Linked DNA regions of Caenorhabditis elegans. The protein of the gene in region 1 purifies or fractionates together with the protein of each later gene. This does not show direct contact. Each region holds a gene or a part of one and is shown on either strand. Other genes may lie near its edges.

Region 1 (7,751 bases):
TCTCTACGGTGAACCAGCGCTGACTGGTAGGTTTCTGAAAAATTTGAAGCCTTTACTACAAAAATATTATTTCAGAGGACAGTGTCGAGGGAATCCTACAAATTGCTGCCAGATTTGATGTTTCCACGGTTATTCGTAAAGGTGAAGACTTTCTGCTCCAAAAATCGGAATTTTCACCTGAGAAGAAGCTGCAAATGTCTTTGAAGTATAATTTGGAGAATCTCAAGGTTTTGCTCGATTCTGTGCTAAAATGTTTTGTATACTGAAAATTTTCAGAGTAAATGCCTTTCCGAGGTCAAATCAGTTGCTGATATTCGTTCCGTTTTGCCAAAGGACATAAAAGAAATGGATCATTCTGTAATGGCGGAGCTCTTGGAAAAGTCACTGGGTCTTCAAAAGACTTGAATTGTTTCATTGATTTTTCTGATCCAAATTTGTTAATTTTCACTATTGTTTTGTTGTTGAATTCTTCAATTTAAGCTTTTTTTCTAAATGAAAAATTGTCCAGAAAAACGAATTGAAAAAGCAAAACAATATTTATTGATTTTTACAATTTCCGAAACATTTTCAAATCTTTTTTGAAAATATCGAAGAACAAGAGAAGGGCGGTGCAAACCGAAAAGCTTTCAAAACGACACGTATTTTGGCGGGAAAATTTAAAAATTCAGGAAAAAAGTTAGATGTGCAGGTGTTACTGTAGACGCAAAGTCTGTAAGAGTGTTTGCACCAATTGCGTCAGACTTGACGCCAATTGGAGAGCCGTCGAGTTGGAAGCCTGAAAAAAATCGATAATTGATCATGTGGTTGAATTATCGATTTTATTCAAAAATCAGTAAAATTCTAGAAAATCGATACTTTAATTATCGATTTTTTTATATTTTTCTGAAAATCTTACATTTGCTGAAACTTGTTGCAACTCCTGCACAACTTGTGGAGATGGGGTTGCTCGTGAGTCGATTCCTGTAAATTATCGATTTTTGGGTGTATAAATTAGCTCTATTGATAATTTTTTTATAAGTTTCTCACGAACGTGTAATAATCTTTAAAATTTAAAATTTCTGCATTTTTCCAATTTATTTGTGATGTAAACTTGCAAAATGACAATTCTCATTAGAGCGCACTTTCCTCTAGCTTTAAACTTTTCAAAATTTTGGCAAATGTATAATAACTGACTATTTCGATTTGAAGATAATTGTACTGGATAATGAGTTGATGTCGTGTAGGCGTAACCATTCTGCTGTTGATTTACGAGAACTGCTGGCACATCTGGATAGTTTCAAATTTGGCGCCAAATTCAAAAAATTCAAAAACCTCGTTGAACAGCTGACGTGGCATTTTGATCTAAATTTCCGTTACTAAAATGTTTAAAAGTTGTCGTTTCGATCGTCTCGACTAGTGGCATTACACTTGAAGTGGAATACGCAAATGTCGTTGAATAGTTCTGAAATTGTGTGCGTTGGGGCGTGGTTGCATTGGCGGAAATTTGAAAGTCTTGTAACTTTTTAGTGGTAAGAGGTAGGGAAAAGTTGTCAACTAGTAAAATATAGGAAATTTAATGGGAATTATATTGTTAATTAAAAATTTCAGTAACATTGAGTTTCCGCCGAGATATAAAGGATTTAAAAAATTTAAAGTTACAAATTGGAAACGCGTATACCTTTTTCACTGTTTAATATGCCAAAAAGTTGTCAACTAACAAAATGTAGGAAATTTTATGTACAACATTTTGTTAGTAGACCATTTTTTCGTATCTGTTATATCTGCTGAGATAACGCCTTACCAATGTTGGTGGGGCATCCTGTTGTGGGCTGTCGTAGGCCACGGCAGCCGGTTCTTCATTTGTGGAGTTGTCTGGAAAATTTAATTAGGCTTAAACCTGGTTTCAGCTTGGTTCAGACTCAGACTACAAACTAAAGAGCCGTCCAGCCTCAACCACCTTTTGTAGTTTGTAGTCTACGCCACTATATTTGAATACATATGTGTAACTATGCAAAAAATGTGTCAATTTGATTTAAACAAAACGCATAGTTGTACAAATTATCCAAAAATGCTTTCCAATATATTGTGAGGCTCAGGGTACATTTTAGTTTGTAGTTTGTAGTTTATGAATCAACTAACCCAAATTTCCAAAACTGAAATGTTTCATAGTAGTAGTTGTTGGTGTTTCTACAGTAGTCGGGTACTGTGAACTAGTTTCATATTGGAAATTTGTTTGATTTCCAGTATTTCCAGAGTTCACAGAATTGTTTCCAGTGGTATTTCTATTTCCAGAGTCATTTTGCACATTTCGAGCCGCGAAAAGCGATGGTGGGTAGTGTGAGGAGGTACTGTAGACGTATGGAGTTGTCGACTCGACTGGTGTATCCCTAAGGACTCCGTTACTTTGAGCATCTGCTGCTGAGAGCATTTGGAGCACATATGTGCTCACAGAGCCAGCTGCGTGTACGGCTCCGTTCATGGTACCTGAAAATTTTAAATGTAATTTTAAATTGCAAAATTCGATGAAAAATCTAAAAAAGCTACTGCGAAATTGCCTTTGAACAAAGTTACAGTCTGTTAAAGTTTGGTTGAGGCTGAAAGTTCTGTAGTTTGTAGTGTGAGGCTCAACCAATTTTTTATGCACCATAACTTTCTTCAAAATGATCGATTTTTTACCGTTCAAAAACCAAAATATTGAGGGAAAATTGAAGAACCTAGATTTCAATATAATCTTCAGTTTTTTCAAAAATTAAAATTCTGACCCACCCAAATTGTGCGAGGCAATATCCGCAGTAGCAATATGTACATTTTGGTACAAAGTATGGAAATCGTTGAGATATTTCAGGGATTCTAATGGAATATTAAGCTTCAATGTTGGAATTGTTCCTTTCGCCAAGTCGTCCGTGGCAAAGTTGACGTCACTGCAAAAATTGATTTTTAAAAGATTTTTGGTGGGTTCTGCGATACTGTGAACTACAAACTACAAACTACAAACTACTAGCTACTAACCTACATATTGTAGTCGTTTCCCGATTTCGAATTTGATAGTTTCAAAAGTTTTTAACAGTTTTTCAAATTTTCCCAAACATCTTACCTAACATCCAATGGCGAAAAATCAGCAAATCTCAGCGAGTACATAATCGCCTGAGTGTACAATTTGCGGCGGGTCTCGAACGGAACATCGTAGGAGAAATGGGCGATACCCCAAAGTGTTGATGACGCTGATGTGGAGTTGTCTGAAAATTTTTTGAATTTTCGGAGTTTTTCTGATAATGCTTAGTTTTTGAAAAGTTAAAATCGGTTCATTTGGAGCGAAGTTACGGTGCATCGAAGATTGGTTGAGGCTCAGACTGCAAACTACAAACTATAATATAATCCTAGCTGAGCTTCAACCATCATTCTGTAGTTTGTAGTTTTAAAAATGGTTGAGGCGCTATTAGGATTGTAGTTTATAGTTTGTAGTATAAACCTTTGAGATTCACCAACTTTCGGTGCACCATAACTTTGTTCAAACTGGACCAATTTTCATGGTTCAAAAACCAAAATTCACTACAGAAACTTCTTAAGATTAATAGTTTAAACATTTTAAATTTACAAAAGTCTGGAAAAACCCACCACAACTCGCCGCAAAAGTGGTATCAAATGTGGTCAGCCATACCAATGGACCAGTCGCCGACGTGTAGATCACTTTTCCGCTCCGCCCATTTAGCCGCCACGTGGCACGTTGGAATGACATTGTGAAGTAGTAGGCGTGGCCTGTTGGACCGTAGTTTTCTGGAAATTTTTGTAGTTTGTAGTCTTAGAATTCGTAGACCGAAGTTTTTTTAATGTTTGGATGAAAGTTTAAATGTTTCAGTGCAATTTGATTAGAATTTGATGTCATTGTGGAAAAATGTTTTTAAGTTCGTTAAGGCTAAATATTTGTAGTTTGTAGTCTAGTTTGTAGTTTGTAGTGACCAAAACTCTAAGGTAAACAAACGTTGTTTTTGAGTGGTTTTTATGCGGTTTCATTTTCGGAAATTAAAACAAAAAAAGTTCAAACATTTTTTTTCTCTACTTCAATTTTTCCAAAAACTCACGAATAAGCTGCTGAAAGGGAGCTTCTGGTGCTGGTACCAGCTCAATATTTTCCAGTGTCGGAATTGGCACAGCTACAATCACTTGACGGCCACTGAACCTTCGGCCGGCAGATGTTTGGACCACAGCTGGGAAGGCGGCTGGAAATTAGGATAATTTGAGTAAAAAATAGGAAAAATAATGAAATGATGTTTTTAGAAAATAATGAAATTTTAGAAAAAATTTGAATTTTCAAATTTTAGAGATTTTTTTTCAAATTTTTTTTTTTGGAAATCAGAAAAAATAATTCAATGCTTGTTTTCTGGTTTTTGTAGTTTGTAGTTTGTAGTCTACAGTACCATCATTAACCGAAACGACACGTTGACTATATTCAATCAATAATCCATCAGCAAGCCTTCTCACGACTTCATTCATTCCACCTTGTGCCAAAAGACTCTGCCCATGACCAAATCTCCGGAGAATTTCAACGGCTGTCGCATTTTGACTGGAACACGTCAGGGCCAGCTGAATTTCTGGAACTTGTTCTCCGGGAGCATCGAAAAATGTCTGAAAATGAGGGGAAATATGGGTTTGGCGGAATTTTAAGATTGGTCAATATTAAAGAACGTGGTACACTAACCTGCATCATTCGGTTCACCGAATCTGCGTCAGCAGTGTCCATTTGCTGAGACATTGCTGAAACTGAAGTATTTGTAAGATTTCCGAGAGTTTCTGGCGAATTGATAAGATCTGTGAAGAGGGTTGTACTCCATTGCTGTTGGAGGGATAGTTGTCTGGAATTTTCAGAGAGTATTGTTAAATTAAAAAAAAAAAGCTCCTATGGATCTCAAAACCGGATAAAATTTCAGTCACTTGTGTCAAAACTGTACCTCTTCTTCCTTGTTTGCTGGAATACTGTATTATTACCACATGTCAACTGTTGTGTTGTACGAACATTCAATTCTTGAATTAGACTTAATAATTGGGTGTCCGTTGGAGAAATGAACTGAGATCCTGAAAATGAAGCAATTTTGCATTATCTGGGGTACTGTAGATATCAAAAATGCACCGGATCTGACGACAAAATGCACTATTCTTCAAATTTTTGTAAAAAGAGTCGGCATGTAGGAAGAAAACATTGGTGATTTCGAATTTCGTAATGAAAATCTTTAAAAATCGATAATTTTCAAGATTCAACGTACCTGTATCTACGAATTCAACACCATTTCTTGTCTGCATTGTAGCATATCGAATTCTGCCACCAACTTGACCACGTGCTTCCAGTACTAATACGGATAGTCCTGGTCGATTTTGCTGGATGTTCCGGGCTGCTGTGAGCCCGGTAAGTCCTGCTCCGACAACGATGACATCATATATTGTTTGCTAGAATATAGAAACATTAGTTGAGGATTAGACTACAAACTACAATATTAATCTAGGGAGTTCTAAAAATTTTAATGTTAGAAAGTGAATATTTTGAGTGTAAAAATTCAAACATTTTTTCGAAAAATCGAAAAAATTTTTAATCTAAAAATTGGCCAAACATTTGGTTTTCAAGACTTTAGGCTAATTTTGAAATTCAAATCCTTAAGAAAAATGAAAAATTTAACTTATTTAAGGTGTTGCCAGGAATTTTCTTTTCAAAATTTTTGGAAAAAGTTGGAAAATTAAATTAAAAAACCCCAAAAAAATTGTTTTTTCATTTTTTTGTTTCTCCCCTTACCTGAATATTAGAACTGCTAATATTTGCAGACGTTGGTTGCTGTTGTTGCTGTGACTGTTGTGAGAGTGTATTCTGTGCATAGACGCAGACAGCCGCCCAAATGAATATCCACCACCCACGCAACATTTAGGTTTATTGCTGGAAAAATAAACATTTTTCGGTTTTTATATAGAAACAGTGGTCTAAATGACAAATGAAACGTGTCAACTGGGTTAACTATATAGTTTAGGTAAACGGATGAAGAAGGTAGGTTAAAAGTAAATAAACAGGTGGAAACTGGATATTTTATCCGGAAAAAACAAGTTTTCTTTTAAAATATAGGTTTAATAGTTAATTCCAATTTACAAAATAAACTAATATTACGTTTTCTTTTTTAGTCGGATACAGGAATGGGCGGCAATTGCCGTTCGGCAAATTTTTTCGTCGACAAATCGGCAAATTTCCGGTTTGCCGATTTGCCAGAAATTTTTATTTCCAGCGAACTGCCAATTTTCAGTTTGCCGGATATCGAATTTGCCGGAAATGTTCAGAGGAATTTTTTAAAGAAACACTTAAGTTTTAATTAAAAATGTGCCTTTTTAAAAATTATCTCGTTTTCTTGAGATATTTTCAAAGAACATGCTTACTTTTCAAAAATAGGATGCGCGAAATTTTGCAAATTAAAATTGAAATTCTGAAATTTCCAAAAAAAAAAATTGGAAAACCACAAATTGCCAAAAATTGTCGGCAAGTTCGGCAAATCGGCAATTTGCCGGTTTACTGATTTGATAAAAATTTTCAATTCCGGTAACTTGCTGTTTTTCCGGAAAAATCGTTTACCGCCCACACCTGGTCTGATAGGGCCCACATTTAAACAATTAGATTTCATCTTTTGAGCTCTGAAACCTCAACTCATCTAGTTGCTCTGGGAGCAGTTATATTGTTTTAAAAACAATTTGATTGAAATCTCCTTCAAATTCTAGTTAATTCTCTTTTTGGAACCATCCAATTTGGTTAAATTTGAAGCTAGTTACGAATATTTGAAATTAAAGAAAAAAAATTTTGAGTTTCCCGCCAAAAATTGTTCTCAGAAAATTTGAATTTCCCACCAAATTTTTGATGTCGTTTTCTGATAACTACAAACTACAATATTCTCAGCCTCAACAAATATTCAGACTCAAAAATTCCATTAAGACATACATAGTTGCAACACGAATAACATTCTTGAATCTGGAAAAAAAATCTAAAAAACCAGTTTCCAGTGACAATTAATACATGAGAATTTCCAATTCCAGTTAAAAAATCACTCAAAAGGGTAATATTTGAGGAATTTCTTCGGGAAATGACCGTCTATTTGATTGATGGGAGGAGGAAAAGGAGGGAAGGTGGTTCTGGAGAGAAATACATTAAAATGGTAATTGAACCGTATTTGCTTAATGGGCAATTTCTGAAGTTCAAGTACAGTACGTACCATATTGCGATAAAAATGACCAAAAAACTGACTTTTCTCGGCTAATTTGAGTGGTTTTGGCCAAAGATATTAATAATTTAAAATTGGTGAGGCTCAGACTACAGCTACAAAATTTTGTAAAAATAACTATTTTATCAATTTATCTTTCTTTTCGGACCTATTTTGCCTGTTGAAGCATTGGTTTTGCTCCACTATGAGCAAAGTTACAGCGATTTGAAATTTGGTTGAGGCTAAAAATTCTGTAGTTTGTAGTGTGAGCCTCTACCAAACTTTGAGGGCCTGTAACTTTGTTAGAAGTCGGCCTAGAAACTCGGTTCAAGAAACAAATTTATGTAAAATCGGTAGAGGAACATAGTGAAGTAGAAATTTAGTGGCTTAGTTAGAAATATTTTGTAGTTTGTAGTGTAAGCCTCAACCACTTTTTGAACCCTTATAACTGTTAGAAGTTGACCTAGAAACTTAGTCCAAGAGACAAATTTGTTTAAAATCGTCAGAGGAATCTACTTAAATTCAAGTCAAGTGGATTAAGAATATTTTGTAGTT
Region 2 (6,693 bases), on another chromosome or scaffold:
TACTTCATCGAAGACTAATTCATTACAAAATATCCGGATATCTCTTTTTTTTTTGAATAGGGAGCCCTCCCTCTGTGTTTATCTAATCTGCCACTTGTTTTTCCACTCTTCCGTCTCCTCTTCTTCTCCTAGTGTCCCTTTGAGACTTTTGGCGGTTACTGATACTACAACTAATACCCCCTACCAACAACTAGCCAGTATTTGATAACAAAAACAGCTATATATAATTTTTGAGATTTCTAGATTTTTTCTATCTATACAAAAATAATTTTAATTCCCAGTTGGGGTATATTTTGATGGCTTGACGTTACGGTGCCAGCCTACGGTTGGAAATAGGGGTGTGCGGCAAATCTCAAAATTGCCAAGTTCGGCAAATTTGGCATATTTGCCGAGCTCATCAAACCCCGAAAAGCATAAAATTAAAAAGAACTCAATTTTATGTTACTTTACTATAATTTTTGAACAAAATCATTAGCTTCGGTCAATTTTAAAAAAATCCAATTTGTGGTGTGTGCAGCAAATTTGGCCCCGCCACTTTTTGGAAGTTTGCCATGCTTGGCAAATTTGGAAAACCCAACAAATTCGCTGCATACACCTGGTTAAAAAGCGCCTATTCCCGTTCATTACTCGCCCGTTTGGCGCCCTATCCCGATGATTTGTTCTCATGGAAATTGATTACTAAATACTGATTGAATTTTTTCCTTTTTTATAGGACGCACACCCGTAGGGATTCTTCAAAAAAATTTAGAGTTTTCACCTCAAAAAAATTACTATTCAAATTTTATCTCGAATACCTGAAACTGCATAAAAAATTTTTGTAACGTGACAACACTAATTGCTCTTTAAAATATCTCAATTTTACGAGAGCTTCGTTAGACTTACTACTGGCTCAGACATTTCCTGATTGCAGCTGACTTCCAGATCAGAAGTGCACTAGGAATGTCTTTTAACTCTTTAATCCTATCCTAATCCGCTTAAGCTTCCACCTAAATCATCCCGAACATAAAATTCGTTCTTTCCATTCCCCCTCCTTTCCCAAGTCAGTACCTAAACCCTTCCCCCGAAAAAAATTCGACTACCCGTCTCACCCCATAACTCGATTTGGACGGGTGGGGTAGGCTCGGGGGCTCCGAGCTTTTACATATTTTTCTTTTTTTTTTCTGCTTCTATCTTTTTCTCTGCGTCTCGTCTCTCTTGTTCTTCGTGAGAAGCAAGAGAGAAAGAAAAACTGCATTTTTATGATTGTTGTTCAATTTTTTTTCTCTCTTTTCCCTTCCCTTCTCTTCATTTTTCTTTCAGATTTAGTAATTTTTTCGCTTTTATTTTTCAAAACAATATTAGAATACTTTGCCGCTCTACTTTTTGAGTCATTGCTAGAAAAAGGGGACCTTGATGGCTTTGACATCTAATATCTTGGCTGCTTTCAGTTTTAGGAAAACATTTTTAACTACAAAACTGTTGAACACAATTGTTTCTATATTTTTGTAGTTTAAAAAATTGTTCTGTCGCTGAAAATAACCGAGCTACAAGCCGATAAAGGTTATTTTCAATTAGCGCAACTATGTATGTTTGGCTTTCAGAATTTTACTCGTTTCCTGACAAATTATTACTCGTTCTTTAAAAACCAAATCTCTAATCAATTCGATTTTGCAGAACAAAAATGGCAGACTTGGAAGCAGTGCTGGCTGACGTCAGCTACCTGATGGCAATGGAGAAGAGCCGAAGTCAGCCGGCGGCTCGTGCCAGCAAACGCATAGTTCTGCCAGACCCGAGTGTGCGGAGTATAATGCAAAAATTTCTGGAAAAGTCGGGTGATATGAAGTTTGATAAGATCTTCAATCAAAAGCTCGGTTTCTTGTTGTTAAAAGATTACGCGGAAAATGTCTCCGAGAGTCCGTGTCCTCAAATTAAATTCTACGAGGCGGTGAGTATCAGAGTTACCAAAATATATCTCTGATCTCAACAAAGTTTCAGATCAAAGAATACGAGAAAATGGAGACACCAGATGAGCGATTAACAAAAGCACGAGAAATTTATGATCATCATATAATGGTTGAAATGCTCGCACATGCTCACGTAAGACTCAGTCACTTTAATTCTTCAACAAATCGCAAACTATTTCAGAACTACTCAAAAGAATCATTACAACATGTACAATATCATCTTCTTAAACAAAATGTGCCTCCAGATCTTTTTCACCGATATGTTTTGGAGATTTGCGATCAGCTTCGTGGAGATATTTTTCAACGATTTCTCGAGTCGGACAAGTTCACCAGATTCTGTCAGTGGAAAAACTTGGAGTTGAATATGCAGCTGACAATGAACGACTTCTCAGTACATCGAATTATCGGTCGAGGTGGCTTTGGAGAAGTCTACGGGTGTCGTAAAGCTGACACGGGAAAGATGTGAGTGGTGAATATGCAAGCCTGCTCCTAAAAAGAAAATGTTATGCCAGAAGTTCAAAACCAGGTCTAGAAAAACTAGGTTACCCTGGAGTACCAAAGATACACGTGATGCCAGGTTGTCCCATCACGGTTTGATCTCCAAAAAATGCGGGAATTTTCGCCAAAAATATGTGACGGTAGCACGGTCTTAAGCATAAAAAATAAGTTGAGAACTCTGCGTCTCTTATCCCGCATTTTTTGTAGATCTACGTAGATCAAGCCGAAATAAGACACTCTGACATTACGGGAAGAAATTATCAATATTACTGGACTTGATTAGAATTTCATATTCCAGGTACGCGATGAAATGTCTTGACAAAAAGCGAATCAAGATGAAACAAGGAGAAACGCTGGCACTAAACGAGAGAATCATGTTGAGCCTCGTCTCCACTGGACAAGATTGCCCATTCATCGTGTGTATGACATACGCATTTCAATCACCCGACAAACTGTGTTTCATCCTTGATTTGATGAACGGTGGTGACCTTCATTATCATTTATCACAACACGGAGTATTTACGGAGCAAGAGATGATATTTTATGCGTCAGAAGTTATACTTGGACTGGAACATATGCATAATCGATTTGTAGTTTATCGAGATTTAAAGCCTGCCAATATTTTGTTGGATGAGAATGGTCATGTGAGGGTTTCCGATTTGGGTCTCGCGTGTGATTATTCAAAAAAGAAGCCGCATGCTAGTGTGTAAGTTGTTTTCTTTCAAACCTGAACACATAGAAAATCTCAGACTTATAAGCGCTATTGGGAAGATTATACCTTGTATCAAACACATATTTTGACTCTTGAGGTTTTGCTAAGGAAAAAAAGGCAAAGGCGTTGCTAGAAATTTTAAAACTATTTTTGAGCCCTATAATTATGCCCTATTATTATAATTATAAGTCAGGGCTCCCAGCTGAGTGAGGAGCAAAATGCGGGTCCCACACCGGCGCCGTTACCCGCTGTATGTGTAATGAAGTGGGAAAAGGTAGTTACCTGAAAGCGACTGACACGTTCGGGCCCTCATTGGAGCCCTACTATCAGTATTTCAAAAAGTTTGCCTGTTTTCAAGACAGAAAATGAGGATCTAATCAAACTTTTAAACTTTTAAATAAATTCGACCAGTCACCTAATTGTTTCAATTTCAGCGGAACCCACGGCTACATGGCACCCGAAGTACTGGCCAAAGGCGTTGCCTACGACTCGTCAGCCGACTGGTTCTCGTTAGGATGTATGCTGTATAAACTTCTAAAGGGACACTCACCATTTCGTCAACATAAGAGCAAAGATAAGAACGAGATTGACAAAATGACATTAACACAAGATATTGAACTGCCGAATGAAGGATTGTCAAAAGACTGTCGAGATCTTCTGGAGGGACTTTTGAAACGAGACGTTCCGGATAGATTGGGGTGTCGCGGGAAAGGGCCGACGGAGGTTAAGGAGCATCCATTTTTCAAAGATGTCGATTGGCAAACTGTGTATTTGAGGTGAGTTTATATATTTAATAGAACCAAATTACTCAAAGTACAAAAATTAATATTTTTTGTCGTTAGCCACATAGATGTAAATTGAAAAGAGCATTCGAAGCCATACAGATCCGTTATAAATTTTATCGTCCTGTGCTGGTATTTCTTACAAACCACATTGTGGAAATTGTAATACAGTCCAAAACGGAAATTTAAGGTGAATAATTTTTAAGCCATTAATGTTGCAACAATTTTGTAAAATTTCAAGAAACTCACCAATCAGCAATTTTCCAGACGAATGACACCACCACTAATCCCACCACGTGGAGAAGTCAACGCTGCGGATGCATTTGACATTGGAAACTTTGACGATGATGAAGTGAAAGGTGTCAAGTTGCAAGACGGGGATTCAGATTTGTACAAAAACTTCAATATTGTGATATCTGAACGGTGGCAGAATGAAATCGCGGAGACAATATTTGAGGTAGTGAATCAGGATGCGGATAAGGCGGAGAGTAAGAAGCGGTCAAAACAGAAGATCAAGGTGGCAGTTGAGGAGAAAGGTAAGTAGAAAAAGATCCCCAGGCAAATCTGCATAATATTTGATTCCAGATTCCGATGTTATAGTCCACGGGTATATCAAGAAGCTCGGCGGCCCGTTCACCTCGGCTTGGCAAACCAAATACGGCAAGCTCTATCCATCTCGACTGGAACTTTATCCGGAATCATTAACTGCTAAGCCAGAGGTACGTTTGATTTGAAAACTGAGTAAATATAAAAATGACACATTTCAGTTAGTATTTATGGATCAAATCGAAGATGTGTGCGCCGAAATGCAGACCATCAAGGGAGAGACGGCAATCATTGTGAAGTTACGAGATGGGTTCAAAGAGCCTAAGATTTGCTTAACAAACTCGGTTAGTGAAAATGTTTTAAAGTATAAGACTGAAAAAAAAAACTGTCGGTCTGTCTATCTTGTAGTTTTTGAATTCTGTGGCATTTATTGAAGCGTGCCTTGCACTCTCCGCTGGTATTAATTTCTGCGGAATAAAAATTGCTATTATAAAATTAAACTTGGCTAAAAACTCTAAATTCAAGTATTCAAAAAACCGTTGCGGAAAAATTCTAAATTTATTTTTTTTATTTCTTGTAGAAATTTTTTCCTACAAAAAATTGCGGCAGAAAATTTAAAATTTAAAATTGAGTTTTTCAAAAATTTCTGCAGAAAATTCAAATCTTTATTCTTTCAAAAATACTGACGAGAACACATTTTAAACTTACAATTTTTTAGGAACAAAATTGACGCAAAATTCAAGTTCTGATTTTGATCAAATCAAAATTCTTGCAGAGAAATTTTCTTGTTTAAACTAATTCAAAATTTTAAACTTTGGGGTGCAATTCAAATTTGAACTTTTATAGGAGTGTCATCGTTATCAGATTTTTTCAAAATCTTGAATTTCAAAATTCCAGGACGAAATCTCTTTGAAAGAATGGCACACATCCCTCCGCACGGCTCACAAAGTCTCCCAGGAACTTTTGCAACGAATGGGCCGAAAAGCAATCAAAATCTATGGAGTCAATCATGACCCAATGTTATCTGAAAGTGAACGACCTGGTTCTGTGACAAGAGCCTTTCTGAATAGGGCTAGCAGTGTTGATTCTGGTGTTTAACTTGAAGAAAAAAAATTTTCCAAAATTTTATTTTTGGAAAAAAATCCCCCAAGCATTCCTCTATCTACGGTACCTTTTGTCTTGTGATCTCCTCGATTTTCACACATTTTCCTATAGTTTTTTTTGGGATAATTATTTTAGAACACTTATGTGCTCTTTTTCCGTGCACACATGATAAAAACCGCCGAAAAATGTATATTTTGAATTTTTTCATCAAATGCAGCTTACTACAGAGAGCTTACTATTAGCAGTACTTATGCCAATCTTGGGTCCCGCCACGAAAACAGATTAATGTACTTTTTGCGTGAAATCCATGAGTTCTACTTTGTTTTAGAATAATTATCCTAAAAAACTATAGCTTATCTTTAAAATTAAATTTATACATTCCTTCCACTCCCCCATCCATCCCTGTAAAAAAACCTGTATCAGATGCACAATTTATCGATTTTCACTGTGTTTCTTTTTTCTGTTCTAAAGATTTTTTATTTCATTATTTTTAATGTAAAAACTTTCCTTTTAGAATCTTACACTTTTTACCAATTTTACATCCATTTTCAAAACATCTCAAAAACCCATTTTCAGATAAATAAATTAAAAATTTATTTTATGAAATGAAATGAAATGAAAGAAAAAAAACTAATACCCGTTGAAATGTTGACCGGATGTTAACAGGATATTCATTAGGCAGGAAGTCGGACCCGTGATCTTTCCAGTCAAGGTCATACCTCTTACCGGCTGAGCCACAGGGCGCAGTTAAGTGGAAGCATGGTACCCCCGTAGCCGGTAAGAAGCTCTCCCTGGACAAAATAGGTCGCAGGTTCGACCCCGACACAAAGAGTTTTCCTTTGCTACCGTTTAAACACTTTGTAGACCATTTTCATCTGCTCCTTCGTCCATTTTCCGTTCTTCTTCACATTTTTTCCTGAAGAATTCCATGAGTACTTTGATGTCAGGTGATCGAGGTACCATAGTTGGCCATACTCTTTCTAAACATTTTAAAGGGAATTTTAGTAAATATTTTTGAAATTCATACCACAATTTTCTCGTTCGGAGTACAAGTGACCCAAAATATATGACCGTGGAGGTCTGCTGCACAGAATGGATCGTAAACAGG

Evidence for each region.
Region 2: the proteins of amx-2 (region 1) and grk-2 purify together in Caenorhabditis elegans (affinity purification with western blotting, with the first as the bait; one study listed by BioGRID). This does not show direct contact.

The regions. Positions count from the first base shown.
Region 1 is NC_003279.8:12,759,065-12,766,815, forward strand, and holds amx-2 (monoamine oxidase), read right to left. Parts: upstream 5,897-7,751; 5' UTR 5,885-5,896; coding exon 5,759-5,884; intron 5,419-5,758; coding exon 5,238-5,418; intron 5,050-5,237; coding exon 4,926-5,049; intron 4,830-4,925; coding exon 4,676-4,829; intron 4,603-4,675; coding exon 4,395-4,602; intron 4,197-4,394; coding exon 4,059-4,196; intron 3,754-4,058; coding exon 3,595-3,753; intron 3,216-3,594; coding exon 3,074-3,215; intron 2,901-3,073; coding exon 2,746-2,900; intron 2,464-2,745; coding exon 2,119-2,463; intron 1,852-2,118; coding exon 1,781-1,851; intron 1,442-1,780; coding exon 1,312-1,441; intron 1,267-1,311; coding exon 1,174-1,266; intron 961-1,173; coding exon 896-960; intron 776-895; coding exon 692-775; 3' UTR 523-691; downstream 1-522. Other genes in the region: bath-35 (BTB domain-containing protein), read left to right, coding at 1-26, 76-227, 277-405.
Region 2 is NC_003281.10:674,469-681,161, forward strand, and holds grk-2 (G protein-coupled receptor kinase 2), read left to right. Parts: upstream 1-1,653; 5' UTR 1,654-1,660; coding exon 1,661-1,924; intron 1,925-1,974; coding exon 1,975-2,076; intron 2,077-2,124; coding exon 2,125-2,405; intron 2,406-2,739; coding exon 2,740-3,147; intron 3,148-3,587; coding exon 3,588-3,929; intron 3,930-4,202; coding exon 4,203-4,471; intron 4,472-4,520; coding exon 4,521-4,654; intron 4,655-4,702; coding exon 4,703-4,825; intron 4,826-5,378; coding exon 5,379-5,579; 3' UTR 5,580-6,181; downstream 6,182-6,693. Other genes in the region: W02B3.4 (uncharacterized protein), read right to left, coding at 6,428-6,565, 6,613-6,693. UniProt on the Caenorhabditis elegans protein: Specifically phosphorylates the activated forms of G protein-coupled receptors. Required in adult sensory neurons for chemotaxis.